Linked DNA regions of Tamandua tetradactyla. The protein of the gene in region 2 interacts with the protein of the main gene of each other region in a pairwise test. Links are inferred from orthologs where the notes say so. Each region holds a gene or a part of one and is shown on either strand. Other genes may lie near its edges. The genes, in order: AKAP12, FHL1 and MYBPC1.

Region 1 (9,697 bases), on a different chromosome or scaffold from region 2:
AAAGATAGTAAAACTTTTATTTCCTAAATCCTTCAGCAACCCTGACTAGCATAGGGATAATGAAGCTGGAGAGGCACATAACATAAGCGTAGGCTTATTAAATATGGAATGGAACTGCCTTCCTTTACTATTGTGACTCAAATGCTAGGTGACTTTTTATTCTTCTCTGGACTTCAAAGCCAGGATCTATGTATGCCTATATCGTGCATGTATCCCTAAATGTTTTCATTACAGAAAAAAAATTCCAATACATATTCATTATAGAATATTTAGAATGGCATATAAGCAAAAAAAAAAAAAAAAAAAAAGCAAAAACTATCCCTAAAATAAGGGAAAGCCCCCTATAACTGTTGATAAAGGCAACAATATGGATGAATCTCAAAATAATAATATTGCATTAAAAGAAGCTAGACAAAGAAGAGCATATATGAATGACTTCATTTATATAAAATTGTAGAAAATGCAAAGTAATCTATAATGACAGAAAACAGAACAGCGTTTCCCAGTGCTTGCCTGGGATGGCAGGGTGGGGCGGGCAGGAGGAGAGAGGGGGATTATAAGGGCACATGGGGAGACTTTTTGGGGTTCATGAAAATGTTTAGGATCTTGATTGTGGCAATGGCCTCAAGGAGCATACTCTGTCAAAACTCATCAAATTGTACGCTTTAGATATGTGCAGTTGCTTTTAGGTCAAGTAGACCTCCAGAAAATTTTTTAAAAATATTCTAAGGGACTATTGGTATCCTCTAAATGTGGAATTTCTTCTGTAAAATATTGCTTGAGAAACTGGGTATTATTTTTGCTATCAAGTTGTTTTACCCAGGAAAGAAAATAAAACCACCAAATAACCATAATTTCACATTCTGAAACAACCCTTGTTTCAAATTCTCCCTAAGAAAGTAAAATTCACCTATTTCACTCAGAGAATTCCATAGAAGTCTCTAGAGTGCAATAACATTAAAAACAACACACCCAATCCGTTCCACTTTCAAACCAAAGTTTTCATTGATTTGGGAGCTTAAGCAGTGGCAGACATCGGAGTCTCTTTCATGTGATTAATTATGTTCCCAATGAAGTTGTAATGAAGTAATGTGTTGAGAGGAGAGAGGGAAGGAGAAAGATGTCCAGTTTCACTATTGACTTCCTATTATTTATTCTGACTTACCACAGCGATCCCTCCTATAGATACTGTGATAGTGTATTTGTAGGAATGTCAAGAAATCATTAAAAATGAAAAAAAAAAAAAAACAGCAGCTAATAGAAATGAGGGCAGTCCCAAGGAATGCAAAAGTTCCCCAGTCTTAGGTAGGAGGTCTGTAAAATGGGATAAAATAATCGCTCTCTCTTGTGTAAGATTTTACTGACCCTTCTTCAGGTTAAGCACTGATCCTTTCATTGGATTCTTAATCACACATGAAATATATGAAAGCAATTTTTGATGTCAAAGACAGCAAATAGCAGATCTGAGATTTAAAATTCACAAAAAGATTCAAGTTAGTAAAGGAACATAAAAGTTCTCCATAATTTACAATGCATGTCTTTTTTTGGACAAGTAATGTTGACTTATGTAACCAAAGTTTCAGCTTTGAAAAATTCCAAGTATTTTCCCTGACAGTTAACTCAATAAAAGTTTGTTGAAAAAAATATTATTAAAATATTGAGAAATTTGTTGTATACTTGCAGGACTCTTCAAAGAATTTATGAAGGGATTTGAAACTGTGCAGATTATGAGAATTTGATCTACACTGCGGTGTCATTAACTTCCAGACACCTCTAAGTGCCTTCCCAAAATCATCCTAAGAGAGTCTCTCTCCATATTGGGCAAATTAGTTACTATATCTTGGTTCTTGTCATACGTAGATGGAAAGCAGCCCAACTAGAGAAAAACAAGGAGCCAAAGGTATGCTGGTTTATTGGTCACTGTATTTCACTTGTATTTATCTCTATTTACTTTGTTTAGGTGCATCTTGAGCAAAGGATGTGTTCAAGCTGCAGCCATACCCAATTATTTTTCTGTGAATAATTGCTCCTATAATGGCTTCCATGGTGCCTGAAAAATACAGATGAAAAAATTGACTTTCTCTCTACTCCCCTCCTCTTTTTCCCATTACTTTAGAGGAATCTTGGATTTGAGTCAGGAGCCAATCTTAAGTATTGGTAAATGAAAGTGATATACAAATAGTAGGCTTTGTATTTAACCACAAAACAATGATTTTCTGTCTCTCTCTAAATATATATATATATATATATAGTCAGAGAGACAGACAGATGACTTTCACCTGTAAATTGAACTTTCAGTGGTTTGTTCCCATATAAATGCTGAGATTATTATTTACTCGAATGCAGAAATTTGTTAATTCTTTCAGTTTTTTTTAGTTTATAATTAACAAATAAAAGAGAGAAGAGTATGAGTTGGGTTCTTAGATGACTGGATAGTGTCATAAAAATAATTGGCACAGGAGGAGTAAGCTTTTTATATAGGGAAAACAAAGAAGTGATAAGTGGGCGTTCGAGGGTGAAAGCTGGCAGTTCTAAGTGAAATTGCCTAGTAGAGAATGAATCTGCCAGGCAGAGTTGTGTGGCTTTTAAATTCTGTTTTATTCATTACAGTTATTATTGCTCTTTAAAGAGGGGTGTGTTAACCCAGCTGTGAAATGTTTCACATGTGTGAATTCCTTTAATGCTATATTTGAAAATGTTTTGGTATGTGCACGAGACACCCAGGCATGACTCGGAGTTTTACTGGTAAATCTCATGTGGTCTGTATTTCTGGAGAAGTTAGCATGAGAAGCACAAGTTCAGCCTGCTTTACAGGCAATGCGTGTTTGTTTTTGAGAAATCTCAAACTGTTTTTGTGAGTGTGCTAACCCTCTCAGGGAAACGGGCTCCACCACCAACTGCCCCGTGGGGAAAGACACGTCACGGCACCTGCATCCTGCTGTTTGGAGGAGAAAGACAGGGCTGCAGGTGCAAAATGGGGTAACCAAGAGCTTTGGACTGAGAAGAGTCAAACAGAGCAGGTGTTTTCCCCTATATCACGGACCCCAATCTGAACAATTCCGAAGGCATCTCTTGACCCTAAAAATAAAACTTGGTAATGTCATATAGCGCCTTGATCCAGAAGGCAGTAACTTTGTGCTTAGTATATAATAGGCACTCAATAAATGCACGCTGGAAGAATGAATTGAACAAGCTTTTTAACGTTCTAAAGCATTAAGCATATTCGAAAGATTGGGATGTCTCATTACTAGGGATAATAATATAAGCACGTTTCTCAACAAAATAAACTCATCCAGAAAATCCCCTTTGAACCCCAGTGTTCATATAGCATTATTCACAGTTGTCAAAAAGTAGAAGCAACCCAAGTGTCGTTGACAGATCGAGCTTAAGTGGCACATCCATACAATGGAATATTATTTGGCCTGAAAAAGGGATGAAGTTCTGATACTTGCAACAACATGGATGAACCTGGAAGACTTGTTGAATGAAATAAACCAGACAGAAAAAGACAAATATTGTATGATCTCATTTACATGAAATATCTACAATAGGCAAATTCATAGAGACAGAAAGTAGTTTATAGGTTTCCAGGGGCTGCTGGGGCTGGGGGCTGGGGAAAATGTTTGGGTTGAAAAAGTTTTAGTAATGGATGGTGGTGATAGTAGCACAATATCTTGAATGCAATTAATACCACTGAATTATACACATGATAGCGGTTAAAATAGGAAATTTTGTGTTGCTTGTTACCACAATAACCATTAAAAAAAAAAAAAGTAACTTCACAGTCTACAAATAAGATGAGAAGCAGTCTTTGGTCAGCCCCCAAACCAAAGGCAGTATGTGTGTGGTTGTGTCAATCTATGAAAAAAGCCTGCTATTCTTAATAGTCCCTTAATCAAGAAGCTCTTTCAGGCCGAATACAGAATAGGAGAATGTGCATGTTTTTTAAACTAATATTTTGCTTTTTAAAAGTCAGAATATGAGTTTTTTTTCCCCCCCTCATCCTGGAATGGAGACACAAAGCAAGCAGTTGCTAATCTAAACAGACCTGCAGTGTCTCCTGCAGCATGGGGGTGGGATAAGATCGCTTGAAATCTTTTTGACCTTGGAATACTTTCTGAAAATTTAAAGGCTAGTAGATGTGAAAAGCGTTGTTAAGAATTTCCCAAGAACTGAATAAATACTATCTCACAGGACGGGAAAATTTTGATAGCATTTGTGCTACTTACTGATACATTCTCCTATGTGCTGATATTCATTGTTCTCAAATAGGCTTTCACAGCCTTTTTAGTGCTTGCCATCCTAAATGAGATCGGAAGACCTCTCCTTGCTAGCATCCCTGGGCAGGAGACAGAGAACACATTTGAAAGCTGCTTATGGAGGGGGAATGAAGTATTGTGCAGTGGTTAAGGGTGAGCTTTGAAGTCAGAGACCTGCGTGGACTCTGATCTCCCATCGGTAGCTGTGGGATTTTGAGCACATGCCATCATTTCTCTGGGCCTCTGTTTCCTATTTCCTCATTGGTAAATTGAGAATAATATGTTCACTTCATTGGGTTTTTGTAAGGAATAAAGGTGGCTTATATGCAAAGTGCTTTGAACAGTTGCTAGGACAGAATAAGCACTCAAATATTTACAGAACAGTCACAATTTTAGTAAAAATGGGTGAAATGCTTATAAATCCCCAAGACCAAGCATTTTGCAAATATATTGTTTCCTAAGTGATCAATTCCACATAAACTGGCATTTGTGTACCCCTTCAAATAAGAACAATTAATTCAGAAAACAAATTTTATGCTGGTTAAATAGTTGATAATGATCCCCAAAGTGTCATTAAAATACCTGCAAATAATCAGGCACAAAATAGCCCGATGCTGAACTGCCCCTTACATCAGTGGTCTACTGTAGTTGTACACTTTTGGAATATTGGCACTAGACACCAAATAAATATCCTATATTCCAAAAGTCTTAATTTTTAATGCATGATTTTATTGGTGAAAACGAAGGCATTCAGTTGCCAGTGAGAACTGGGATAATTTTTGTCTGTCAGCCCCACTACTCCATGCTTATATGCCAAATATTCCAGCCTAAAAATTTCATTGAGTTCAAATATTTAGGGACTGTTAGCTATGTTCATATAATAAATATTAAACTCAGGAGTCTGAAGAGGGAAAAATAAGCCTCATCCGTGGAGAACTACCGATGGTATCGAACAGAATTTTGCCAGTCACGTCTCAGTATCATCTGATGGAACAGTGGCCTGGAGGGGTGATTTCAGCCTCGGGCGCTGGGAGGCTGGGCGCTTTTGCGGTGATAGCCTCACTCCCTACATTCCCCCAGGAAGGAGGGCGGCTGTGCTGTTCACCGGCTCGGCTGCTTCACTCGTTCTGGACGGTGGGAGAGTGTGGGCCGCTTGGCCCACCCCGCCGTGGCTTGCCTCCATCAACCCCCTCCGTTCCTTTCGCCGGCCCTAATATGGTCCGACTCCGGAGGAACAAGGAGTGCTAGCCTTTCTCCTGCTGATGAGGAAGAGGCAGGTACAAAACCCAATCTGAAGGAAAGCAAATGAGGATTTGGCCTCGCTTCTGAGAGATTTGTAAGTCCGCCGCAACAGAAGCCCCCCGCCTTGGGTGATCCATCATTTAACAGAAGCCACCGAACCCAGTGTACCCGGAGGCTTTCTACGTTCCCCCTTTCTTGCTTTTCCCTCCCCTTCTGCAACACTTGTGTCTTGGCAGCCCCTGTCCCTTTTCGCGACTCGAGGCGTCCCGGGGTCGGGCGGGCTGCGCCCCGGATCCTGGCAGCCGGGGTGGGGAGATGCTGCGGCTGCAGGGCGTGGCTGGGCTGTGCTCATGTGACAGGCCAGGGGAAAACAAGGGGCGGAGTGGAGGAGGCAAAGAGGTGGCTCTTTTTTTTTTCTTTTTTCTTTTAAGGAGTTTGCGGGAGCGCGTCGGCCTCATTCGCTGCGCAGCTCGTCGGGAGAGGAAGGCGGGAGAGAAGGCGCGTCTGGGTGCGGGTTCCTGCGTCCCGGCACTTTGGGAAGGCGCGCAGCAGTCGGCGCGGAGAGCCGCGGGAGAGCCATGGGCGCAGGCAGCTCCACGGAGCAGCGCAGCCCGGAGCAGCCCGAGGCGGGGGTCGAGACGCCGGCCGAGCCCGAGCCCAGCGCGCTCGCGGACTCCGCGGTCGCTGCTGCAGATACCGCCACTAAGGTACGAGACCCGGCCACCTGCTGGGTGGCGGAGGGGGGAGGGGTCCCTCGTGGTGCCACGCACGACAACTTGGCGGTCCGACCAACTTGATTTCAGACTCGTGAGCACCGACCCCTAAATGGGCTTTTCGGGTCCCCCGCGCTGGGGTGGGACCGAACAGCAGCGCGCGCGGTGGGGGTTGGCGCCTTTGTCGTGGGTCTCCAGGGAAGGCGACTGCGCCATCCGTAGTGACAGAGTGCGCCCCGTGTCCCTCCCTCGCCCTGCTCCACTCTCCCGCTAAGACAGACGAGCCACGAGTGCATCCGTGGAGATCGACCCAGGCTGGGCATCTTGAGCCCCTACTCCTTCTCAGATGCCAAAATGAGCAGGTGGCCTGGCCCTGGGCTGGACCTGGCGACGGGCCCCACCCTGCTCCTCCCTCGTGCTGCCCTTGACAGCATCTGCGTCTGGAGCGCAGGGAGTCGTACCCTGTCCTCCTGCGCCATCTACGCCCGAAGCGCTCTGGGCTGCCCCGGCTGGGTACCGGGTTCTTCTGCAGTAGCCGCGCCCTGAATATCCCGGGTCCGCACTGGATCCCGCCTGGCGTCGGTACCCAGCCCTGCGGCATCTGCGCCTAAACACCCGGTGTGGGTCCTCGGTTCTCCTGCGGCAGCCGCGCGAGCAGACACCGCCTCCCTGTTGCGGAGAAGAACGGGCGGTGCAGCACGTTCGGGGCCAGACAACCTGGGCAGATGCTCGGTTTCTAGAAGGAATAACAGGTTTTGCAAACAAGGCAGCGCCCTCCCTCTCCCTCGGGTCGTTGCCTGTGGACTCAATTGGATAAACAAATACTGGAATACTAGTTGGAAGTTGTCAGAGGAAGTGGTCAGGGGCGTTAGCAGGCATTCTCTGTATTTCTTATGGAGGCTGAGCTGAACCTCGGATGCCCCAGAAATACTGCTATTAGTTTTAAGTCTCCGCCCGCCGAGATTGTGACTTGGCCTGGTGTCTGTGTTTCAGATCGATTTTCCAGCGCATGCGTTTACTAACAAGGTTTCATCCCCACCGGTTTTGGGATATCCTTATAGGAAGATGTACACGACCATATCTAATGTAAAAACCCTGTGTCCAATTTAAGGACTGAAACTACTTGAGGGCCTTCAGGAGTTATCTCAGGGGGTGTAGATGTTTACAAAGTGAAAAAATACCGAAGTCTAGGTAAATGTCATGGAATTCTGCCTTCATTGTCTTGTCCCCTTTGGCTGTCCTAGTCTACTTTAGGCTGAAAATCTGCTCTTCATCCCTTGGTTTACCTCGTTAACTCATAACTGCTTTGTGAAATCCATGGCCCCTAGAGGGGTAGATACTAATATGAACTAACTGTGCATGGGATATGTAGATTTTCTAAGAGGTGCCAGAGCTTTGGGCCTAAGGAAAGCACTGTTCTTTTGGTGACTAAATGATGTCTTCATATTGTTGTACATCACTTTTGATGCCAGCTTCTGTCAAAATGGCTGCATAACCAGTGTTTAAATTCCAGTGGGGAAGGTAATTTTAAGCTTCATTTTCAGATTGGGAAGCACTTTTCTTTTGAGCTTTTATTATCCCTTTGGATTTTCTTAATTGTTCACCCTGGAACTTGGTTCTTAATCTCTTCCCAATAAACTTGGATTCTTCTGTTTTAAATACTCCTTCCATTCCCTTCTCTTTGTCCTCCTTTAGTGCTCTTTCTTCTCCCTCTTTCTTAGTCACTGACATCCTGAAATAGTCAGTGACATCTTTAAAATTATTCTAGTGACATCCAGAATAGCATTGAACTTGGTTGGCATACTGCCCAGTTATCAATTTGGAGCCAAATCAATACACTTACATATATCCTTGGAATATGTGCAGGTTTTCATTTCAACTTGCAGAATTTATTACTTAGGTTTTGAAGACCTGTGTTTTCTCAGAAGGGCGCCCCAATTAAGAATGACTCAGCCTCCCTTCTAGCCCCTGTGAAACTCCATCTCCTGACTTCTGAATAGTCACACCTGTCCCTTTGGGCTCTCATGGCGCCTTGGGAGTGATCCCAGTTACTGGTTTGATAACTGGACCGGGAAGTGTTCCACCACTCTTCTGGGACAGCTACCACGAAGCCAGGGGCCACATCTGGCTTTGCTCACAACAGGTGTGCCCCTGGGTAGCAAGCTGCTGGTATGTTGTAGTTTCTCAGTAAATATCTGTGGAAAGAAGAAGAGGATGGCGTTTTAACTTCCTAGGCTGCTCCAGCAAATACCATGTAATGAGTGGCTTAAACAAAGGGAATGTATTAGCTTACAGTTTTGAGGCTGGGAAAATGTCCAGCATTAAGACAGTGTTTCTTCCCAAAGAACAGTGCTGATAATCCTTGGCTGGTCTGCCACAGGGCAAGGCACATGGAGGTGTCTACGGGTCCCCCTTCTCTTCTGGGTTTCCATGCTTTCAGATTCTTGCTTTCTGTGGCTTTTTTCCTCTGTCTGACTTTCATTCTCTTGTAAAAGACTCCAGTAAAAGGATTAAGACCCATTCTGATGGAGGTGGGCCCCACCTTAACTGAAGTAGCCTTATCAGAAGGTCCTATGACAATGGGTGCACACCCACAGGAATGGATTCACTTTAAGATGTTTTGCTGGGGTACATACGATAATGACTCAGTTTTGATTGGAGACTAGCAAAATGGGGAACATTTTGGCTATCTCCTTTTTTACAATTTTTAATCTTTGACCACCCCACTATCATACTCAACCTCTAGATCAGGTACATTTTTTGACAAAAATAGCCAAATTTGGGGACTTAGGTTTCTGTTTTCTCTAGCAGTTCTGTGGCTTGTTAGGGTTGCAATTTCGGATTGCCTTTAATCTCAAATAGACAAAGATAAGATATTAAATTCAAGTAGTTCAAATGAGACTACTTCATATATTGAATTTGGTTAGAAATTGCATCTTGAGCTTTCTTGTTTGGATCTCTGGGCAGGGTTGGCTCTAGGGAGGTTTGGCTAATAGATTAATTTTTCCTCCCTGGATAGAATGCTTATCACAATTTAAGGGTGTTCAAATTTTTTTCTGCCTATGTTATGTTTATATTATAAATACAGCAATCCAGTTAACTTTCCTTTTTTTTTTTTACTGCTAATTATAGTTATCAGTTATATACTAGTAAATAAGGTCTCCACATCAGAAGAGAAGCCACACTAATTGTCTTATCACTCTCAATTAGAATTTAACTTTCAATGGAGAGTTAAACTTTTTTTTGTTTGTTTGCTTGTTTGCATGGGCAGGCGCCGGAACCGAACTCAGGTCTCCGACATGGCAGGCGAATACTCTGCCTGCTTGGCCGCTGGAGAGTTAAACTTTTGATTACTCAATCTTAACATTTAGATGTACTGAGACAGAAGTCTCGGATAAGTCTCAGCTATTGTCTCTTATCTATTGTAACATATTTCAATAAAACAGAAGGAGTTTATCTTCCAGGCATTCTTTTACATTCTTT
Region 2 (10,543 bases):
CTGTATCCTATAGTGCATGGTCTTAAATCAAGGAAAAGGAAAATTGAATGAACTGACACCCCCCACACCCAGTTAATGGCACCACCAAGATGAATCCCAGCCCTTGGTATTCTCAAACCCTAACTTTAGGCAATTTTATTAATTATTTTCCTGTGGTCTAAAAAATTGGGGCTCATCTTACATTCCCCAGCACTGTCCACTCAAACTCTTTAAAGAGTCTGCATTCAGATGGAGAAACAAATTTCAAAAGGGCATATTCCTTTAGAATTGATTTCGACAGATGACTTAAGCCTTTCTTGGGTATGTGGAAACACTTATTTGTCAAGATAAAATAGCACTTCTAGGAACATTGGCTTCATTGCCTAATAAGTAAACAGGCTGGAAATACTTAAACCATGTTAACAATGTCTATGTCAATTTCATGAACTTTAATACTTTTTTTTTTGCAATAAATCTAATTAAGTGGAACTCTGGGCAACTGTGCATAAGCTCACCTCCTGTTTTTCTAACTTTGTTGATTCTTTAGTCCAAAACTATTTCAAACCTTCACGCGGTGTGCTTAGGATGAGGCTGGAGTAACACATTCTTACTGAACACATGGTTACCATGGCAATACCAGGCATAAAATACGGATGCTTGTGCACAAGACCAAAAATATTTTGCTACCACTTATTTTTGAAGAGGTTAACAACTCTAAGAAAATGGTTCATAAATGAGAAAGCTGAGAAGGGCAGAGGTTAAGAGGTTCCTGAAAGACAGCAAATATCCTGATTTGTAGGCTTTGCTTGATAAAGAGTATGAGCCACGTTTAGGCCTTGATTTCATGCAGAGAGAAAATCTTGGCACTTTCCTCTGTTTCCTTCTGTTAGAAATAATAAAAGGATAGAGAAAAAATGACAGTAGCATTTTGCCTCTTCTCTTAGGCTCTCTTTAATTTTACTGAATTACATATAGTTAGGCATTTGTCTTTTAGGGAATAATAATTGCTTTATCCCTTAGCAATTTCTAAGTCCCTGAAATATGAAGCCTTTTAACCTTCCCAAACTCCCAGATATGTCTGCGTTGACCTGTTGCTGTTATCTGGAAGAGGGCACGTCATCAATCATGAAACAAAACAGTGGATAAGTGTAATTACAAGGCTACTTCCCTTCACTGCCTGTCTTTGTGGAAGCTATGTCTGCCCTGAGGCAGCTCTCTAACTCATTTTAAGTCACCTAGTGGCCCTCATCTGTACACAGTAGAGAAGTTTCTCTATCACAGAAAATTCTACAAATACACTCAGAGCCGGTTGATTGACAGGTAAAAAGAAGTCACCACCATTAGGCTTCTATAGCTTCTTTTATTCAATACCGTTTGTAACAAAGATTTCTGTTTTAGAAAATCAGGGACAGCTCATGTGAACCTAACCTACCATCCTTTATAAACTTAGTAAGTTAGAATACAGTTAGAAGTGTGACTGGGTGATCACATTTATATTATTTATTCTAAGATGGTAGCCTGACTTTCTCTCTATGTCTGCTGCAAAAGACACATCATTCCTCACTTAATAAACAAGCTTTTCCTTTCAGAAAATTCCTGAGCAACATCCAGCATACTAAGTGATGCTTAAATCATCCTCAGTATCTCAATAAAAAGTTCTGGCCCTCAACTTAATCACGTACACATAGGAGTAATATAACATTGCAACGTTTTTTGTTGTTTTTGTTGCTTTTCACCATAAACCTCTCATCAGAGAAAATTCAAGTTGTATTTAGTAAGTCTTCCTTGTGCTTTTATGTGTACGTTTCTCATGTATTGCTTGCAAATGTTCAGTTTTCTTCCCTCTTGCCCAAGTAGCTCAAAATAAGAATATTTCAGGAAAATGTGAATAGTATGTCTAGGGTGGTATTTTTCTAACTATGTGCTTTCTCTCAGTGCTATAATGTACACTGTAAACAATGAACAGCAACCCAAATGGAAAAAAAAAAGTTTCAGATTCTTTCTAATCTGTTAATTGCTAAGTCCAACATACCAGTACATTAGTCACTCCATGTATAAACATTGGCTACTAAAGAAGGGGTATACTGCTTTCCTGAGAACATTCAACAAATGGAACGAAGCATTAGCTGATGAATAGGACACTTGTGTAGTAGACAGCCTAATGCACCTGGAGGTGTCGTCAGACATTTGGGAATAACACCTAAATAGCTGCAATGAGGTGGAGTTCATGCGTCACGGCTGAAGAGTAGTCTCCCACAGAATTTCAGAGAAAATCTGAAAGTGTTTTTTCCCTTAAAAACAGAACATGTGCAAAATGATTCAGTGTTATCAGCAAGTTCACTTGTACATTGCACTGAGCAAAAAAACCAACCACACAAGCAAACCATACATCTCTTCTACGTTACTGATATACATAAGTAACACTGTTTCAGATTTTAGCTGCTATCAGGACAGCTGGATATAGATAGTGAAACTAGAAATCACATACCAACTGAACTTCTACCAGGCCAGGATCTATTCTAGTACTATGTTATCCGCATATGAAACTTTTCTTAATGTTGCACACGCATAGTATAGATGCAAAATGTTCTGTCTTTCACATGGGAAGAAAAGGCCCCTGGGACCCAGAAGCAAGAGAACATGTGTTTTTTGTTTCTCTAGTTGTGCTGAAGTGACAGGTGGTCATTTGGTGGTCATTACAAGTACAAAACTTTCAGTTTCACCCTTGACCAGATCTTCTGACGACCATGTTTTCAGTTATTTTAGGAAGCTGATCTGGTTAGATTACTGCCCTCTCACCCCGACCTTGCATTTTCCATCCTCGCCCTGAGAAAAGACAGACAGGTGTGTGACCCCACTGGGCAGCACTGGTAAAGGGAACTAATGACTGGATGAATATGGCAAACGATCTTATTCCCCCCCCCAACCCCATTCCTCAACTTCAAAGGCCAAAAGGCAAAGAAATTGAATTTCCATAATTTTGCAGATCGGCAGTGTTCCATAATAAAAGTATAAAGGTTTATTCTTGAATTTTTCTCTCAGTATGTGGATGGATGAGAAAAAATAGATTTCGATCCAATTATCTGAGTTTGTATTTTGTCCATAGAAAGCCCACTTCAGGGCAACACTGATTTTCTTCGGGTGATTTTCTTCCTCTCTTGTCTGCTTTCGTGGACCTATGCACTTAATGCAATACAAACAGACATTTCCTGATTTAAAAAAAGCATGTACACGGTATAAATTATTTGTCTAATGCAGCTAAGTTACAGCCTCTAGATTTATATAAGCAGGAATAACATGAGGACTTGGTGCAATTTAAAACCCAGGATTGCATGTGCTATAAATATGTCACCTTTTAACTATATTTTCCTATTCTGCCACTTAGTAAATAAAGTGGGGAGGTGCTCCACTATGTATCATGCACTCAAGGTACATTAGAACAAATGGTCCAGCTGAACAGTTTGCCTACACCCCGAGAATGTGTAAGTTGGCTGATAACCACAATCTCAGGCATGCAGCACTGCTTGTAAAGCAGCTTCTTGGGGGAGTGGGGAGGGGTGAAAAAAACCCAGCCAGCTTTGGAACACCTGGGAACAACGAAGATCTTGCACATGAATGCAACTCAAGTGGAGAATTCCACTGCAGCCTCCTTGCTTTGACCCACCAAAAAGAGCCATTTCCCAAAGAGTTGAAAAATTGGCAGGCAATCACCAATTTTCAAAAATAACATGTCCAAAATGCTGCCCCACCCCACCCTCCTAATGCTTACTTTGCCCTTTGATGTGAAAACTTCGGGAAGGGACGAAGGGCTTGGTTTCTACTGAACTTGTCATCCTTGCCCAGTTCAAAGGAAGGGAACCGTTGCTCAGGCAGAAGGCAACAAAGCAACGGCAACATTCCTGCTTTGGGGAGAGACAGGCAGCAGGCTGACTTCAAGAGAACTGGGCTTTCCCGGAAAACTCCCCCTCTTCCGGCCCCCTCTTCCAGGGACTTCTTGTCTATGGCCAGAGGGCTCTCTTCAAGTCAGGTTACTAAACAAGGGGAAGACCCATGGTGACGTGACCTAGGACGTTCGAAACGTCGCCTTCTCTTTCTGAGAACAACCAATAACAAACTTCTCCTATTGCAGGGTCCGTAGCTGTTTCTTCGGGAAGATGCAGCAAGTCATAAGTTACGGACACTGAGATATAAACATTCCCCCCTGCCACCTCCATGTTCTATTCAACTCTTCCAAACAACTTAAATTAGATCTAAAGCAATGTCAAGATGAAGGGTCGTGTTTTATAAATAACCCCAAATTCCTAACCCCCCAAACCTTCTCTCTTCACACTATCTCTTATAGCTTCGTAAGACGTCCTGAAAAAGGTAAAACACATATTAAGAGGCTTATATACTTTTTTAAAAAAAACCACTGAAGTTGCTAAGTTTGCTTGAATAAGAGGAGTCGTCTGTCTTCAAAATAGCACTGGAAGGTAAAGACAAAACAGAGACAAGCTGTGCCTTATTTACTGTTCAGACAAGACGAAAATCATTTAAGCCCAAATTACCTTTAAGCCAAATGGTGCATTCACTGCCCTAAAAGAGTTGTGCTTGGTTTAAGGCAAAGAATATTGATGTTTTTACCTGAGTGTCTATGGGAAGCCATTGCTCAGAGACCAAGTTCACTCAGGAGCAGCACCTGACCAGTCTTCTCTCCACCCCAGCTGATAAGGCTCTGGCTCATTCGTGAACATACATTTAAGGGGCAGCGGCTAACACAAAAATAACCGAGAGCAGATGTCCCACCCCTCCCGGGAGAGTACAACCTTAATCCCACTAGAAAATTCTTAACCATTTTAGGTGATCCAAGGGAGAAGAATAGGACCCAGTAAAAATACCAAACACTACATATAAATACCTGCAGGGCTACTCAGCATCCAAATTAGCTCCAGAGTCAGAGAGGCCACATAAAAAGCCATCCCTGTACTGGAATAAAATTTGGACTCGGCTCTGGCATAGCCTAACACCGAGCCAACCTTATTATTCCACTTTATATGCCTAAAGAGCTTGCATTTGGCCCTATAAATAATTCACTTTTGTGTTGTTAATTAGAAAAAAAAGTAACTAAAAAGATTCTTGTTACCAGCATATTTAAAGGGGATTCGACATTATGAATATAGAGACTGAGGGCATTGCAGATGCTTAACTCTATATCCCTCTTGGCATGTGCCAGAGAGCCCCTCTTGAAAAGGGGAGCAGTTCTAGCCACCCTAAAATCTCCTGCGCATCTGACAGAATTGAACAGAATGGAACAGACTAGAAGGCCTGCATCGCACCTGCCTTAGACACAGTGACAATGCTTTGTCCCACAAACAAAACCTCCTCCTTCTCACTGTCAGGAACAATGAAACTGATTATATGAATGGAAATGAAAATGGCCCGGCAACCTCACATATTGTAACAGCTCGACAAGCCATCAGCTGGCTGGAAACTGGTCATCAAGAACCAGTTCCAGAGAAGCCAAAGTCCTTAGGATATCCTTATGATAAAGTCCCTTCATGCCACTCATCTCCCATTCCCCACCTCCGTGGCTTCTCTGGCCTCACCCCTGCCTCCCTTGCCCTAGTTTCTTTTGCTGCAACCTCATGGGCATCCTTGCTGTCCCCTGCACTCTCCACACATGCCGCCCAGCCTTGGGATCCCAATACTGTTTCCCTCAGCCCAGAGCATGTCGTGGCTGCTCCTCTACCTCCTCCAAAGCTTTGCCCCAAATCCCTTTTTCAATGGCGCCTTCTTTGCCCAGCCTATTTCAACTCACCACACACTCTCTCTGGCACCCCCCCCCCCCCCAACTTGATATTCCCCACAGTACGGAGGATAATCTAACTGAACAGAGAACTGCACTTTTTTCTCTTGCTCATTGTCCGATTCTCCTCTCCGGTCCACGAGGGCAGGGGTTTGGTGGGGGGCATTCACTGGAAATATTGCCCCACAACCAGGAGGTCCTCCGTAATCTGCTGAAAAAATGACTTCAGAGAAGCAAAACTGTTCATTTGGCCAAGCAGAGTCCCACCTAAAATCCTGAAAGTAGCTCTGGTGGCTGAGCTTCGAGGAAGGTGGCGAATCCCTTCACTCCGGGACAGACCCTGGACTCAACCCCCTTTTACAGACACTGTGTTTTGTTTAATAGCGCATGTCACTGCTTTGGCCCTATTTATAATCTTCCCTACCTCCCCAGCTGAGGGCTGAGGCTGGGTTTTACCTGTCTGGGTCTTCCCACAGCCCTACAGTAGGTGAATCATAAGTACTTCAGGAATAAATGTGTGAAGGACGCGCATAAATCTCAGGCACTTCAAAGGTTTCCTGAAAAGTTATTCTAAAAGAGAGCTGAAGTTATCGAAGTTGTCGGTAACTCCTGGTCAGCTGGAGAGCGACCTGACAATAAAAGTCAAGACGCTCCAGGCAAAGTTCTTACACGTTGAGGTCAAAAAGTAAGCCTGGGAAAAGAAGGGAAGTGGCACGGTTGTTCCCTCCCACCGCCCACTCCCCCAAAGTTTTACTAGTCTCTTATCCAGGCTGGTTAAATTACAGCAGGGAGATTGGCCAGTTTTACCAATACCACACCCTGAAAATAAACTTAAACTTTTCACCTAGTGGAAATGCTCTTATTTTATTAGATGATTAACCTTCATGAACCCTACGTTTTAGATTTTAGTGAGGTTTATTTTTAGGCAGAGTCAAGGTATTTTTAAATGCCCCCGCTGTAGCTCACCATGAACAATAAGCTTAGTGTGCCAAGTTACTTTCTTTTAAGTAGTCAATTCTACTTTCCAGTTATGCATCAGGATGTGTTTTCTTTTAGCAAGTGCAGTAGCAACCGTAGACTATGGGTAAACCCTGTAAAGGTAGCAGATAAAGTCTCTGAAACGCTGCTACCAGAGAATTACTTTCTGGGCTATTAATGAGTCAACGACCACAAGCCTTTGTGTTGTTGCCTTTGCAACTTTAAAAACAATTTCTTAGTCAGAACAGTTGATAACTCTTGTCCTGACTTGGATCAGTGGTTCAGAAATGTCAGTGGCTATTTAGTTGATAGTAAAAACCTGAACAGTCACTGGTTTCATTAACATCAGAGCCAACTTCGTTACACATTAACAGCCTGATATTTAATAATATCCTTAATAATCACCGTACTGTTTGCAAAGCACTTTTATATACTATTGCTGGGAGCTGGCTGGTGTTTGATGAATAATTCTCTTCTGTGTTTGAAGACCCCATTTCAGGCTTTCTAAGGCCCTTACACCCTAGCATAATCATGATTTTTAGTGAGTGCTAAGCATCCAAAACTCTAAGTTCCCATTTACTTCAGAGTTTATCTACACATTCTTGCTGTCTGAATACTCTGCAGTGGCAGATATTTGGGGTCCCCCTGAAGATGAGGGCACCCCACCCATTTATTTCTTTTAGATGACAAACATTTATTGAACAAAGATGATCTACTGTGTGGAAGATATTTTGCTGGTCACAAAGAATAAGGCACAGTGCTTCCTTTAAAGCTGATTGATATAGAGAGTGGTCAAGATTTATTAGAGGGAGGATCTTGGGGTTCACCCCTATGAAACTTATTCTTGCAAAGGATAGGCTAAGCCTACTTAAAATTAGGCGTAAGACAAGCAAACTCACTACCCTCCCCCGGACTACGTGGGACATGACTCCCAGGGGTGTGGACCTTCCTGGCAACGTGGGACAGAAATCTTAGAATGAGCTGGGACTCAGCATCAAGGAACTGAGAAAACCTTCTCGACGAAAAGGGGGAAGAGTGAAATGAGACAAAATAAAGTGTCAATGGCTGAGAGATTCCAGACAGAGTCCAGAGGTTATCCTGGAGGTTATTCTTACGCATTAAATAGACATCACCTTGTTATTCAAGATGTAATGAAGAGGGTGGAGGGAACTGCCTGAAAATGTAGAGCTGTGTTCCACTAGCCATGTTTCTTGAAGATGATTGTATAATGATATAGCTTTCACAATATGACTGTGTGATTTTGAAAACCTTGTGTCTGATGTTCCTTTTATCTACCTAATCAACAGACGAGTAAAACATATGGAATAAAAATAAATAATAGGAGGAACAAATGTTAAAATAAATTTAGATTGAAATGCTAGTGATCAATGAAAGGGAGGTGTAAAGGGTATGGTATGTATGAATTTTTTTCTGTTTTCTTTTTCTGAATCGATGCAAATGTTCTAAGAAATTATCATGATGATGAATATGCAACTATGTGGTGATACTGTGAATTACTGATTATAAATGTAGAACAGAATGATCATAAGTTAATAACGTTTGTGTGTGCATCTGTTTGCTGTTGTTTTTTTAAAAGAAATTTAAAAATTAATTAAAAAAAATTAGGCCAAAGAATCACTTCCGGAGAACCTCTTTTGTTGCTCAGTTGTGGCCTCTCTCTCTTTAAACCCACATGGCAAGTGAACTCACTGCCATCCTCCTCTACGTGGGACATGGTTCCCAGGGGTGTAAATCTCCCTAGCAGTGTGAGACAGAACTCCTAGGATTCACCAGGACAGGCATCATGGGATTGATAGAGTCTTCTTGACCAAAAGGGGGAAGAGAGGAATGAGACAAAATAAAGTTTCAGTGGCTGAGAGATTTCAAACAGAGTCGAGAGGTTATCCTGGAGGTTATTCTTACGCATTAAGTAGATATCACCTTGTTAGTTAAGAAGTAATGGAGAGGCTGGAGGGAAATGCCTGAAAATGTAGAGCTGTGTTCCAGTAGCCTTGATTTTTGAAGATGACTGTATAAAGATATAGCTTTTACAATGTGAATATGTGATTGTAAAAACCTTGTGTGTGATGCTCCTTTTATCCAGGGTATAGACAGATGAGTAAAAAAATATGGATAAAACATAAATAATAGGGGGGATAAGGGGTACAAAACATTGGGTAGATTGCAATACTAGTGGTCAATGAGAGGGAGAGGTAAGGGGTATGGGATGTATGGTCTTCTTTTTTTAATTTCTTTTTCTTGAGTGATACAAATGTTCTAAAAATGATCATAGTGATGAATACACAACTATGTGATGATGCTGTGAGCCCCTGATTGTATACCATGTATGGAATGTATGTTTGTGAAGATTTATCAATAAAAAATATATATTTAAATTTATCAGAGGGAGAGATCATATCAAGTTTGGGGGTTCAGAAAAGACTTCATGGATGTGATGGCATTTGATCCGGTCCTTAACAATGGGTTAAGACTTAAAACATACAGAAGGGGGACAGTGGGCATTCTAAGAACAAGGTATGGAGAAGAACATAGGTCTGCTCACAGAGCAGCATGCAGTCTAGTTGGGGTAGAAACATAGGATAAAGAAGCAGCTAGAAAGGAAGGGAAAGACTGTGCACGGAGGGCCTTTGTGAAATCAGCACATGGGAAGAATGCGATAAGACTAATGCAAGCAAGCAAGGACAAGAAGGGTGTATGGAGGAGGAGAGTCTGGAAGCAAGAAGGCAGCTTAGAAGGGAATTTCATCAGATATGCTAGGGCTGATTAGATGGATAGGAGAAGAAGGAGCTGAAGAGTCCCGAGATTTTTATTCTGGCTGACCAGGAAAATAATGGGGAATTTGGGAGGCAGAGCTGGTGTAGGGAATATGGACCTTCATTTGTGGCTTTATAATGAAGTTCTTCTGATACATCGATAACTAACTCCCATGCCCCACCTTTAATGGAACCTGAATTGTCAAGCAGAGAGAGAAACAGGGATAACAGTAAGGTTGCAGTGAAATTATACTGGTGGAGATTCTCATCATACAATGCAATCCTCGACTCTTTATCTCAAAACCACCACTGGGAGGATCAGACTTCAAAAATTCAAAGTGGCGCAACCTAAGACTCAAACACAGCAAATTCAGTGACCCACTTGGCCCACATCTCAGGAGTTCCTCGTACACAGCTTGGCTTCTGGTCGCCCTTCTCCCCCTTTGTTACAGTTTTCTTTCACTGAAGAAATTTCCAAATGGTTGAAATCTTACTGAGATGATTACTGGCCATTAGTCATGGCTAGAGACAAAAGGATGAGAACAATCTGGGGTCTTGTGGATTTATCAGCGATTTCAACTTCATTTTTTTTAGAGTATTCTTCTTCTCCTCAGGCCTATTACTAATAAATTAATATGCTGCAAGTTTTCTCTCAATATCATTTTGTTGGGCTACTAGTCCCTCAGCCAACAATTTCTACTGACTCCAACTGCAAGATTAAGGCACCTAGTCATGCACTATGATATGATGTGATTCAATGTTGAGCACTCCAGAGTATTTCTAGTCCTAAGTGCTCTTGCCAGAAAAAGTCCAGTACAACTTCAACCATCTCATGTTCCTGTCAATCTTTAGGGTGGGAAGTGTACTTTTTCCTCCTGACAAGTCAAATTGTGCAAAGTCACTGCTTAAATGTCACAATTCGTGGCATACAAATTTAAACAATAACATGGGGAAGCACCCCCAAATCCACGAGTAGTGAGTTCATCATGCTAAATTCCAATGAAAATAAACCTGGACTTCTTTCCCA
Region 3 (10,596 bases), on a different chromosome or scaffold from region 2:
GGCCTGAAAACGAGAGCGAGACTTCTTTAGATTTTCTGGATGAGAAGCAAGGATACATCTTGTCTTCCAAAGGTTTTTTAAGGCGATATATTTAGGACGCTTGAGAGGAAAGAATTGGCCAGTCCTTTATTTATCTTCCTAACAGGTGCAGTACGGGCAGTCATAAAAGCAGGTCACTGAAAAGGAGTGACACGGCCAAGCGCTGAGCCCTCCAGGGTGCACTTGCCCAGCGCAGTCCTCACACCAGGGCGCTCACATTTATGCCATAAAGTTCCCAAAGAGCACGGCGATGCTTTTCCCAGGCACGTATAGAAGTACAACGGTATAGCGGTGTTCACACACACGCACATACATGTACATATAGTGGCATCCATGCATACATTTTCTTCCTCACCCAAATCCTCCACTAGGCCTAAATGGAGCTAGGAGGAGAACAGTTGCCCTTGAGAAAATAAAACCTCTGCCATCCTCCCCCATTCTATTCCCCAACTCCAAACAAACTGTTAGCATTTCCTCAATTTGGCATGAAAGTGATATTCTCTATAAAAGAAAACTGTTCTGAAGACAAATTAATGCTGGCGCTTGGGACCGGCGGTGGGTGTGGCGCAGGTGGGACGCGGGGGCGGGGAGGGACCCCAGGCAGGCCGCCCCCCCCCGCCCCCCGCCCCCCGCGGGGCCCTTCTCTGCCCATGACTCAGCCTCCAGGCGAAAGGTAGTGGCGGCCGCTCCGCCTTCGCACGGGTTCCGGGCCTCGCGGGAGGGGGGCGTGAGGTCGATCCCCGCCCACCAAGAAGGAAAGATATAGAAAGGGGGGAAGCCCCCATGGCCGGAAAGAAACCGTTCTCGATGGCCCCCTCCCGCCTATCCGCGCTGGAAAAGACCTAAGGCGGCGAGGAGAAGACGGTGGATGCCGCCCTCCGGGGCAGCAGGCGCCTCCCGCTAGAACACCAGGGCTGTGATTTCTGGAATGAGCCGAGAGCCCCTCAAAACTCATGGTCATAAATGAGCCCACGCTTTGCCACCGTTTTGAATTTTCAGGAAGGAATCTTACATGGAAGATGAGGAAAGGACGCTGACTCTGCCAGGGTGGTTTGGATGGCCCATAGGCACCAATTTTTTTTGCCTTCTCCCTACGAGTTTAATACATAAAATGCAACAGGGCCTGGTATATCACAGAACAAAAAGTGAAATTCATGTCAGCTCAGGGTTTTAGAAGAAAAATGCTCTGGGTTCTGTAGTATGTGACAATTCACGATTGTCTAAGTATTTTCAAGAACTGGGTTTTACAGTTTTAATCCCCATATACTGCAGAGAGAAAAATTCTGAGAAAATCCTTTTTTAAAAAAATGCATTGCAGAGCATTTGCATGGCTCTGCAATGCATTTTTTAACAATTAGCGATTTTAAACGATTTTAAACGATTAGCGATTCTACCGCAGAAGGAAATCGATTGCAATTTTTAAATTTCACTTTGATAAGATTACTTTTTGACAGGAAAAGAGGAATTTCGAGCAGAAGGTGCCTCCTTTATGTGGCAGAGCCCAGGGACAATGGAGCCGGAGGGCTTCAGGGAGAGGCGGTGCTGGCTGCATCTTCGAAGCCCCACGGCCAGCGCGTTGGTTGCTCAATTAACAGTTGATGCATAAACGAAGCATCAGTAAGGCGCTCTGGGAGATTCCCACAGTGCAGCTTCCCCCCGGACCCTCTTCTCTCACACCATTTGATTGGACTAACTTAAATTGACCAGGCCTCAGGTCTGCATGAATTCCAAGTATAAGATAAGCCTGTTTTTCTTTCTGGAACTGACAGTACAAATCACAGTTTTCCGAAGAATAACTACACGATTGAGGAAGGCGGAGAGGAGGGGGATGGAAAGGGGCTGGTCCCTAAAAACAACATTTTTTTTTCCTCCAGGAGATGTTACTGGGATTCCCAAAATATTTCCAAGAGCCTTAGAAAGGGCTGGTGACTAATTGTTAGGCTTTATCCTGGAGGACCAAAATGGTGCCTGTCCTTCCTCCCCCCTTAGAGGGAGCAGCACTCCCAAGACCCAACGCAAAGCTCCTAGAACTAGAGCACTGTAGGCCGGCAGTCTGCCCACCTTCACCTTCAGGGATGAAAACCCAGCCTCTTTTGAGAAGTTGCCAGGTGCTTCTGGTTTCTGCAGGTCATTTCAAATGACCCTGAAGGACTGGTCTGGTGGCTTGTCTTATTCTTGGGGCTGGGTTTTGAAGGATGCTTCTAAAGACCAAAACCAATCCCAGTGAAAAGTCACAGCAAGGGCCAGGAGAGTCAACTCCATATTGCCATATTCCTTACTCTTCTCATGGAAACAACAGCAAAATGCAATTTCATCAGGAAATGTCTTCAAAGTTTTATTCCTTCATGAATTACTTATTCTGGTAAGGCAACAAAAATCCCTGCACTTTCTCAAAGAAATTTAAATATATCAGTATATATATATTTACCCCTACTCCCCACCATCCAAATTTAAACTAATGAAAGAATCTATGGGTATAAAATTACTGTCCTTGGGTGGGAGTGGGGGGACAAGGGGGGAAAAGGGACTCGTACACAGTGTGTCAACCGTGCTATTATAGCAAAGAAGGTAATAGAGACTGGTATCCATGTCAATTTATCCAAAAGGAAAAGAAATATATATTGGGGACCCAAAGTTAAAGGTATATATTTCACTTTGTAGCTCTAAAATGTCATTCTTTCTAAAAGTAGAATGGATCAGATTCAAGCGTCAGGCAAAAGTAAAACTTCATAGCATCTAGCAGTGAGAATAATTCAATTAGCTTTATAGGCTCCACAGCCTGTCACCTTTTTATTAGGTCTTCAGCTTTCTTGTCATTTTCAATTGGGCTTTAAAATGACAAATGCAGAATCGTCCACTAAATTCAGGATAACTGAAACAATAGTGTGTCCCTTGGTGAGGAAACAGAGTTCATTGCACCCAAACCAAGTAAGTCTTAAAGAGGCTAGTCAAGTGACAGATCAAATGAGACGGACACTTGGATAGATAAGTAAATCATTTGCATTGCAAATAAGGCACTTCAGCAGGGGCTGGAGTCGGGATTAAGTCCCCCTATTAATGCCCACATTTGGTGCGGTTATTTTGGGTAGAAGACTTCATCTGCCAGTGGCCTCGGCCGCTAAGTAAAGCCAATGTGTAAACCGATCACCATAGCCTGTCAACACTGGTTACTTAATTCCATAAAGAAAATACACTAAAAAGGCTTTTGATAATTTGGTTACTGTTTCAAATTTGAGCTCAGTGTGTAGCATCTTTGTCAATGATCTTCAAAATAATGGCTAGAAATAATTTTTGAAGATCAAAAACAAAGCTGAAACACTAAATACTACTTTCACGTCCTCTGTTCATCTTTGTGTGTGCTTTCAGTTGCAGGAATGAAAAATAAAAGCTCAGAGAATACTAATGAAAACTAATGAGAATAAAATGACATTGCTTTAAGATATTTCCATTCGAAAAAACGCTTAATATACTTGTGCTATTAATTTGGGATTTCCATTAGTAATTTTAGTAACGACTAATTCTAATTTATTTGTTAGTTTTAAAATACCATTCAAATCTTTTTCTTATAGAAAGGAGAAACTTTTTTATTGGAGGAAATATTCTTCTAATGAAGACTATGTCCATGTTTTATACATAATTATTTTTAAAAGTTTACATATTATGAAATTATCTTCAGAAAACTTCTGAAAGAACATAATTTATCAGTGATATCCAGAAGTATTCTCTTTTACCCACCCAGCTGTTTGATTTTCTTCCCAGGCAAGTATTTAATAACCGAAGCTCTAAAAACACTGACAAAAGCAAAAAAAATCATGCATCTGTATGTTTTAAATGTCTTTCCATGAAAAAATACAACAAATCCTGAAATATTGTCACAAATTCCTTTATGAAATCTTGATCAAATTTATTAAACATGTAAGGAAACTTTCCAAGTTCCCTCCCCAACATTGCAAACACATGGTGAAAATTTTCTGATTGAACCTCAGAAAATTTGCTTTAAAATGCAACCTGCTCACTGTTGTCAATTAACATCCTGAAATTACACTTTAAGGATCCCTTGAGATTGAATGATAAAATTCTAATTTGATAATTTTTGTCAGTATCCCTGCATAAAATATAATTAGATAAACTTTTTTAGTTGCTTACACTCTTCCTATGTATTTCCTCTGTCCTTTTTACTCTAAAGGAACTTTTCTTTAAATCAGTGGATTGACATTATATATTCTGTCTAAAAACAATGGATGTTGGTTCAAAAACAACAAATAAACAAACTTTATTAAAAAGTACAACAAAAAGATTTACGGATGAGTCTTACCCTCTTTCGCAGTGGGCTCTGGCATGGCCACAAGTAAATGTTATTTTCCAAAGCGTTTTCTCCCCTGCAGTGCTAGTTGACAGAAACCCCACGAGCGGCGGAGAGATGGTGTTGGTCAGGGTGACAAGCAGTGGGGGGCAAACCCCGGGCTTTTATCCTGCCTCGGGATGTCAATCACGTTGGCACCTCCCCTCCTGCAGAGGGAAGATGCTGGGGCTTTATGGCCACGAGGACTTTTCCCACATCTGTTGTCTGCGCTCTGCTCTCATGCCTACTGGAAGGAATCTCCTGTCCATCTCATGTGGCTGATGCGAGCACCTCTGACTTTCTAAATTCAGCTGCAGCCTCGTGCTCCTCTTGTTCCTCTCTTTCTGCCTGACGCGTGCATATGCCGGCTCAGGAGGGCAAAAAGCTTGCTCGGTGGTAAACATTAAAGCAAATCAGATATCACACAGGTGGGTCCATTCCTAAAACGCGAATAAATTATAAAACTTGGATGCTCAAGTAGTATTTGTCAAAATATTTATCCCCTTTATATGGTAGCCAGAATACCTAAGTGATCTTTAATTGACATGGGTTCTTGATTGAAAAATTAAATTTGCTTGTAACTAGGCTATTTCTGAAAACTTGACCAAAATAATTTACACTGGAAAACCAGAAAATAGGAAAAAAGATGCTGGGAAAATATTTGCGATATATAGGACAAAAAAAATGCAGTCATAAAAGAAAAATGCAGTCATATCTTGATACATAAAATGTTGGTTAGAAAAAAGAACATTAAACGACACTAAGCTGGCATAAAGCACAGATGAGAGTATCTGAATGTTTGTACATGTGAATAATATATAAATATGAATATTAAGTAGTATGTAGAATGTTTTAAAAACATTTAATTTCAGAATTTATCATAAAAACAAAAGAAATGACACTATATACACACATACACACTCATATACATGTAAGTACATATTTTACCAGTCTCAGCAAAGACCGAGGAAGTGGTCAAAACAGGAAAAATGAAATGAGTGGGGCAGTCTTTTTAGATTGTTAGTGAGAGCTTAGCTTGATATAAATTTCTTGCTTGTCAATTGGCAATACTTACCAAGAGTTTTTGATCCAGTTAATTCCACTTCTGTATTGTAACCTAAGGAAACAATTGGTAATTGAGAAAAACAGATTTTCAAAGATGATTATCAGATTGAATACTATGGTAGCAAAATAGAAACAATCTAAATATGTAGGCATAGAGGCATCATTAAGTTAATGATGGTACTTTTATGAAACCAATAAACACAAAGAATAAATATCCTTTTATTAAAAAAAACTAAAGTAAATTACAAATCAGGATATGCTAAATCAACATATACCTTAATTCTGCTAAGATTAGAAAGTAAAAAATATCTTTCAGATAATTTTTATGCTCTCATTAGCTCTTCATCTTTATCGGGTCTTAATTATTGGATTTTATTTTTGAACTTTATTATATTTACATCTTATTTTTTATTAATATGTCAAGTGCCAAGTCAAATTTCCACATTGAATATGTTGTCTTATTTTCTCCTCCAAACATAGTGAAGGTTTCTATTATGGAATACTACGCATTTACCTTTTATCAAGACATGTCCTTTAAAAAACTAGCAGGGGGTGTCTGGGTGCGCGTGAGCCGAGCTGGTGCGAGGGGGTTGGTGCTGGGAGGCTGCCTGTGAAGGGTCCCGCCCTGAGGGGATCTGCAGTACAGGATTCATGCTGAGTGGCGTGGGGTCCGCGTCGCGCTCGGGTAGAGGGTCACGTGGTGTTCTGTATCCTCAAGGGCGGCTTCTCTGGTTTGGTGGCGACCCCGGCAGGGTAACGACCGAAACTTGTGCGGAGGGTGCTTGCTGATTTATCGGAATAGCCAAGGATTTTGTTTCAAATTGCGCCATTTTAAGGCGTCCCCTTAGAGTCAGATGCCTCCTCAGGTCTTGCACTTTCAGGAGCCTTTGGGACCATCTCGGGACGCGCTGGCTTTCTTCACCGCTTGGATTTGTACTTCCTGCAAGAAACTGAAGACTCAGTATAGGTGAAGACGTTGTGCCAAGCAAGTTTCTGTTGGCCGGCAGGAAAGGATTTTGAGGAAAAGGCATGGGAATTTGAGAAGAGGAAAGGGGACGTAGGGTCAGGCGATCTGGGAAACTGCTCCCTCTGATGAATCAATTCAGTAAACACGCTATTCACACTTTGAAGAGTCGTAGCGAACTGCATGTTCTCAGTGAGTTTTAGTATGCAGAGCCGGCGTTATGTTTTTCCTAAATTCTGTAACTTACGTGCCACGGATCCTGCTTTCCTGCTAGCTCGTCATATTTCACTGTGTGATCCCCGCCAGCCACTAGAAGGGTTGAGCACAATTCTTCGGCATAGCTTAAGCCCTATTTGGTTTTGATTTTAAAGTTTGTGGACTGTGATTGTGGGCTACTCTATAGTTGGGTGCAAAAGTATATAACGTATTCAGGCGAGAAGAACAGGCAAAGTCGAAGATGAAATCACGAAATAGCTTGCAAACAAGAACAAAATTTCTAAGAGTACCTGCCCTTCAAGTCAGTAACTTCACTTTATTTGGCTTTAAGATACTTTTCCTTCACGAAGAATTGTGCTTGCAAACTAGAAGCACCAAAACTAAATAAAAGAGGAAGATCAACGCGGTCAGATTGCAGCTAGCGGAGGAGTCGGGTTGTGTTGGCTAATTCTTCCTCCAGAACAGCTACTAGGGGAGTAGAAATGATACAGAACAGCTCCTGGAGCCAAACAGAGATCAAAAAGACAGCGTGCCCCATTCTGGAATGGCTGACTGGCTGGGAGAACCCGCTCCGGTGAGATCGCCGAGGGGCGCGGGCTTCCCCGGGCCGGAGCGGCAGGCGGCCGGAGGCCCTCCCTCCCTCCTTCCCGGGCCGGCTGGGAGAATTGGGCAGGCGGTCCCCTCAAGCCGCAGCGGCTGGCACCCCCCCCCACGCGCGGCCCCCTGGACCAACTGGGAGAATTGAATCGGAGATCCCCAGGCCGCGGAGAATGGTGACCGGGGTCCCTTCCAAACACGTGGCTTCCTGGTCCGGCTGGGAACGGTGCACTCCCCCGGGCTGCGGGAGCTGGCGCCCTCCCGTCATGCTTGGCGCCCCGGGCCGGCTAGGAGATTCGGACGGGCGCTCTCCTGGGCTGGGGCGGCCGGCAACCCTCCCCGCGTTTGGATCCCCGGGCTGGCTGGGAGATTGGGATTGGCACTCTTCCAAGCTGCTTCGGCTGGCGAACCTTCCCCACGGCGAGAGTTTTCCAAAGCTAAAGGACCCACAGCACCTTTTACTGGTGGGACACGCAGACAAACGAGTGCCACGAGCGCCACCTACTGGGCAGGATAAGAAAAACAGAACCCAGAGATTTCACAGAAAAATCTTTCAACCTGTTGGGTCCAACACCCAGGGAAATCTGACTAAATGCCCAGACGCCAGCAGAAGATAACGGATCATGCTCAGAAAATTGAAAATATGACCCAGTCAAAGGAACAAACCAATAGTTCAAATGAGATACAGGAGCTGAGACAACTAATGCTGAATATACGAACAGAAATGGAAAACCTCTTCAAAAACGAAATCGATAAATTGAGGGAGGACATGAAGAAGACATGGGTTGAACAAAAAGAAAAAATAGAAAAACTGAAAAAACAAATCACAGAACTTATGGAAGTGAAGGACAAAGTAGAAAAGATGGAAAAAACAATGGATACCTACAATGATAGATTTAAAGAGACAGAAGATAGAATTAGTGATTTGGAGGATGGAACATCCGAAGTCCAAAAACAAACAGAAACTATAGGGAAAAGAATGGAAAAATTTGAACAGGGGATCAGGGAACTGAAGGACAATTTGAACGGCACAAATATACGTGTTGTGGGTGTCCCAGAAGGAGAAGAGAAGGGAAAAGGAGGAGAAAAACTAATGGAAGAAATTATCACTGAAAATTTCCCAACTCTTATGAAAGACCTAAAATTACAGATCCAAGAAGTGCAGCGCACCCCAAAGAGAATAGACCCAAATAGGCGTTCTCCAAGACACTTACGAGTTAGAATGTCAGAGGTCAAAGAGAAAGAGAGGATCTTGAAAGCAGCAAGAGAAAAACAATCCATCACATACAAGGGAAACCCAATAAGACTATGTGTAGATTTCTCAGCAGAAACCATGGAAGCTAGAAGACAGTGGGATGATATATTTAAATTACTAAAAGAGAAAAACTGCCAACAAAGACTTCTATATCCAGCAAAATTGTCATTCAAAAATGAGGGAGAAATTAAAACATTCTCAGACAAAAAGTCATTGAGAGAATTTGTGACTAAGAGACCAGCTCTGCAAGAAATATTAAAGGGAGCACTAGAGTCAGATACGAAAAGACAGAAGAGAGAGGTATGGAGAGGAGTGTAGAAAGAAGGAAAATCAGATATGATGTACATAATACAAAAGGCAAAATGGTAGAGGAAAATATTATCCAAACATTAATAACACTAAATGTTAATGGACTGAATTCCCCAATCAAAAGACATAGACTGGCAGAATGGATTGAAAAACAGGATCCTTCTGTATGCTGTCTACAGGAAACACATCTTAGACCCAAAGATAAACATAGGTTGAAAGTGAAAGGTTGGGAAAAGATATTTCATGCAAATAACAACCAGAAAAGAGCAGGAGTGGCTATACTAATATCCCACAAATTAGACTTCAAATGTAAAACAGTTAAAAGAGACAAAGAAGGACACTATCTACTAATAAAAGGAACAATTAAACAAGAAGACATAACAATCATAAATATTTATGCACCGAACTGAATGCCCCTAAATATGTGAGGAATACACTGCAAACACTGAAAAGGGAAATAGACACATATACCGTAATAGTTGGAGACTTCAATTCACCACTCTCATCAATGGACAGAACATCTAGACAGAGGATCAATAAAGAAATAGAGAATCTGAATATTACTATAAAGGAGCTAGACTTAATAGACATTTATAGGACATTACATCCCACAACAGCAGGATACACCTTTTTCTCAAGTGCTCATGGATCATTCTCAAAGATAGACCATATGCTGGGTCACAAAGCAAGTCTTAACAAATTTAAAAAGATTGAAATCATACACAACACTTTCTCGGATCAAAAAGGAATGAAGTTAGAAATCAATAATAGGCGGAGGGCCAGAAAATTCACAAATATGTGGAGGCTCAACAACACACTCTTAAACAACGAGTGGGTCAAAGAAGAAATTGCAAGAGAAATTAGTAAATACCTCGAGGCAAATGAAAACGAAAACACAACATATCAAAACTTATGGGACGCAGCAAAGGCAGTGCTAAGAGGGAAATTTATTGCCCTAAATGCCTATATCAGAAAAGAAGAAAAGGCAAAAATGCAGGAATTAACTGTCCACTTGGAAGAACTGGAGAAAAAACAGCAAACTAATCCCAAAGCAAGCAAAAGGAAAGAAATAACAAAGATTAGAGCAGAAATAAATGAAATTGAAAACATGAAAACAATAGAGAAAATCAATAAGACCAGAAGTTGGTTCCATGAGAAAATCAATAAGATTGATGGGCCCTTAGCAAGATTGACAAAAAGAAGAAGAGAGAGGATGCAAATAAATAAGATCAGAAATGGAAGAGGAGACATAACTACTGACCGCACAGAAATAAAGGAGGTAATAACAGGATACTATGAACAACTTTACGCTAATAAATACAACAATTTAGATGAAATGGACGGGTTCCTGGAAAGACATGAACAACCAACTTTGACTCAAGAAGAAATAGATGACCCCAACAAACCAATCACAAGTAAAGAAATTGAATTAGTCATTCAAAAGCTTCCTAAAAAGAAAAGTCCAGGACCAGACGGCTTCACATGTGAATTCTATCAAACATTCCAGAAAGAATTAGTACCAACTCTCCTCAAACTCTTCAAAAAAATCGAAGTGGAGGGAAAACTATCTAATTCATTCTATGAAGCCAACATCACCCTCATACCAAAACCAGGCAAAGATATTACAAAAAAAGAAAACTACAGACCAATCTCTCTAATGAATATAGATGCAAAAATCCTCAATAAAATTCTAGCAAATCGAATCCAGCAACACATTACAAGAATTTTACATCATGACCAAGTAGGATTCATCCCAGGTATGCAAGGATGGTTCAACATAAGAAAATAAATTAATGTAATACACCATAT

The links.
Region 1: the proteins of FHL1 (region 2) and AKAP12 interact in binary tests that used the Homo sapiens proteins (3 or more experiments, as listed by UniProt). The link is inferred for Tamandua tetradactyla from reciprocal best matches to the Homo sapiens genes FHL1 and AKAP12.
Region 3: the proteins of FHL1 (region 2) and MYBPC1 interact in a two-hybrid assay, tested with the Homo sapiens proteins (2 studies listed by BioGRID and IntAct). The link is inferred for Tamandua tetradactyla from reciprocal best matches to the Homo sapiens genes FHL1 and MYBPC1.

Annotation. Positions count from the first base shown.
Region 1 is NC_135328.1:142,874,043-142,883,739, forward strand, and holds the start of AKAP12 (A-kinase anchor protein 12), read left to right. Parts: upstream 1-5,343; 5' UTR 5,344-5,595; intron 5,596-5,932; 5' UTR 5,933-6,079; coding exon 6,080-6,208; intron 6,209-9,697. UniProt on the Homo sapiens protein: Anchoring protein that mediates the subcellular compartmentation of protein kinase A (PKA) and protein kinase C (PKC).
Region 2 is NC_135353.1:23,315,646-23,326,188, forward strand, and holds the start of FHL1 (four and a half LIM domains protein 1), read right to left. Parts: upstream 4,735-10,543; 5' UTR 4,625-4,734; coding exon 4,603-4,624; intron 1-4,602.
Region 3 is NC_135333.1:171,586,280-171,596,875, reverse strand, and holds the start of MYBPC1 (myosin-binding protein C, slow-type), read right to left. Parts: upstream 4,608-10,596; 5' UTR 4,380-4,607; coding exon 4,355-4,379; intron 1-4,354. UniProt on the Homo sapiens protein: Thick filament-associated protein located in the crossbridge region of vertebrate striated muscle a bands. Slow skeletal protein that binds to both myosin and actin.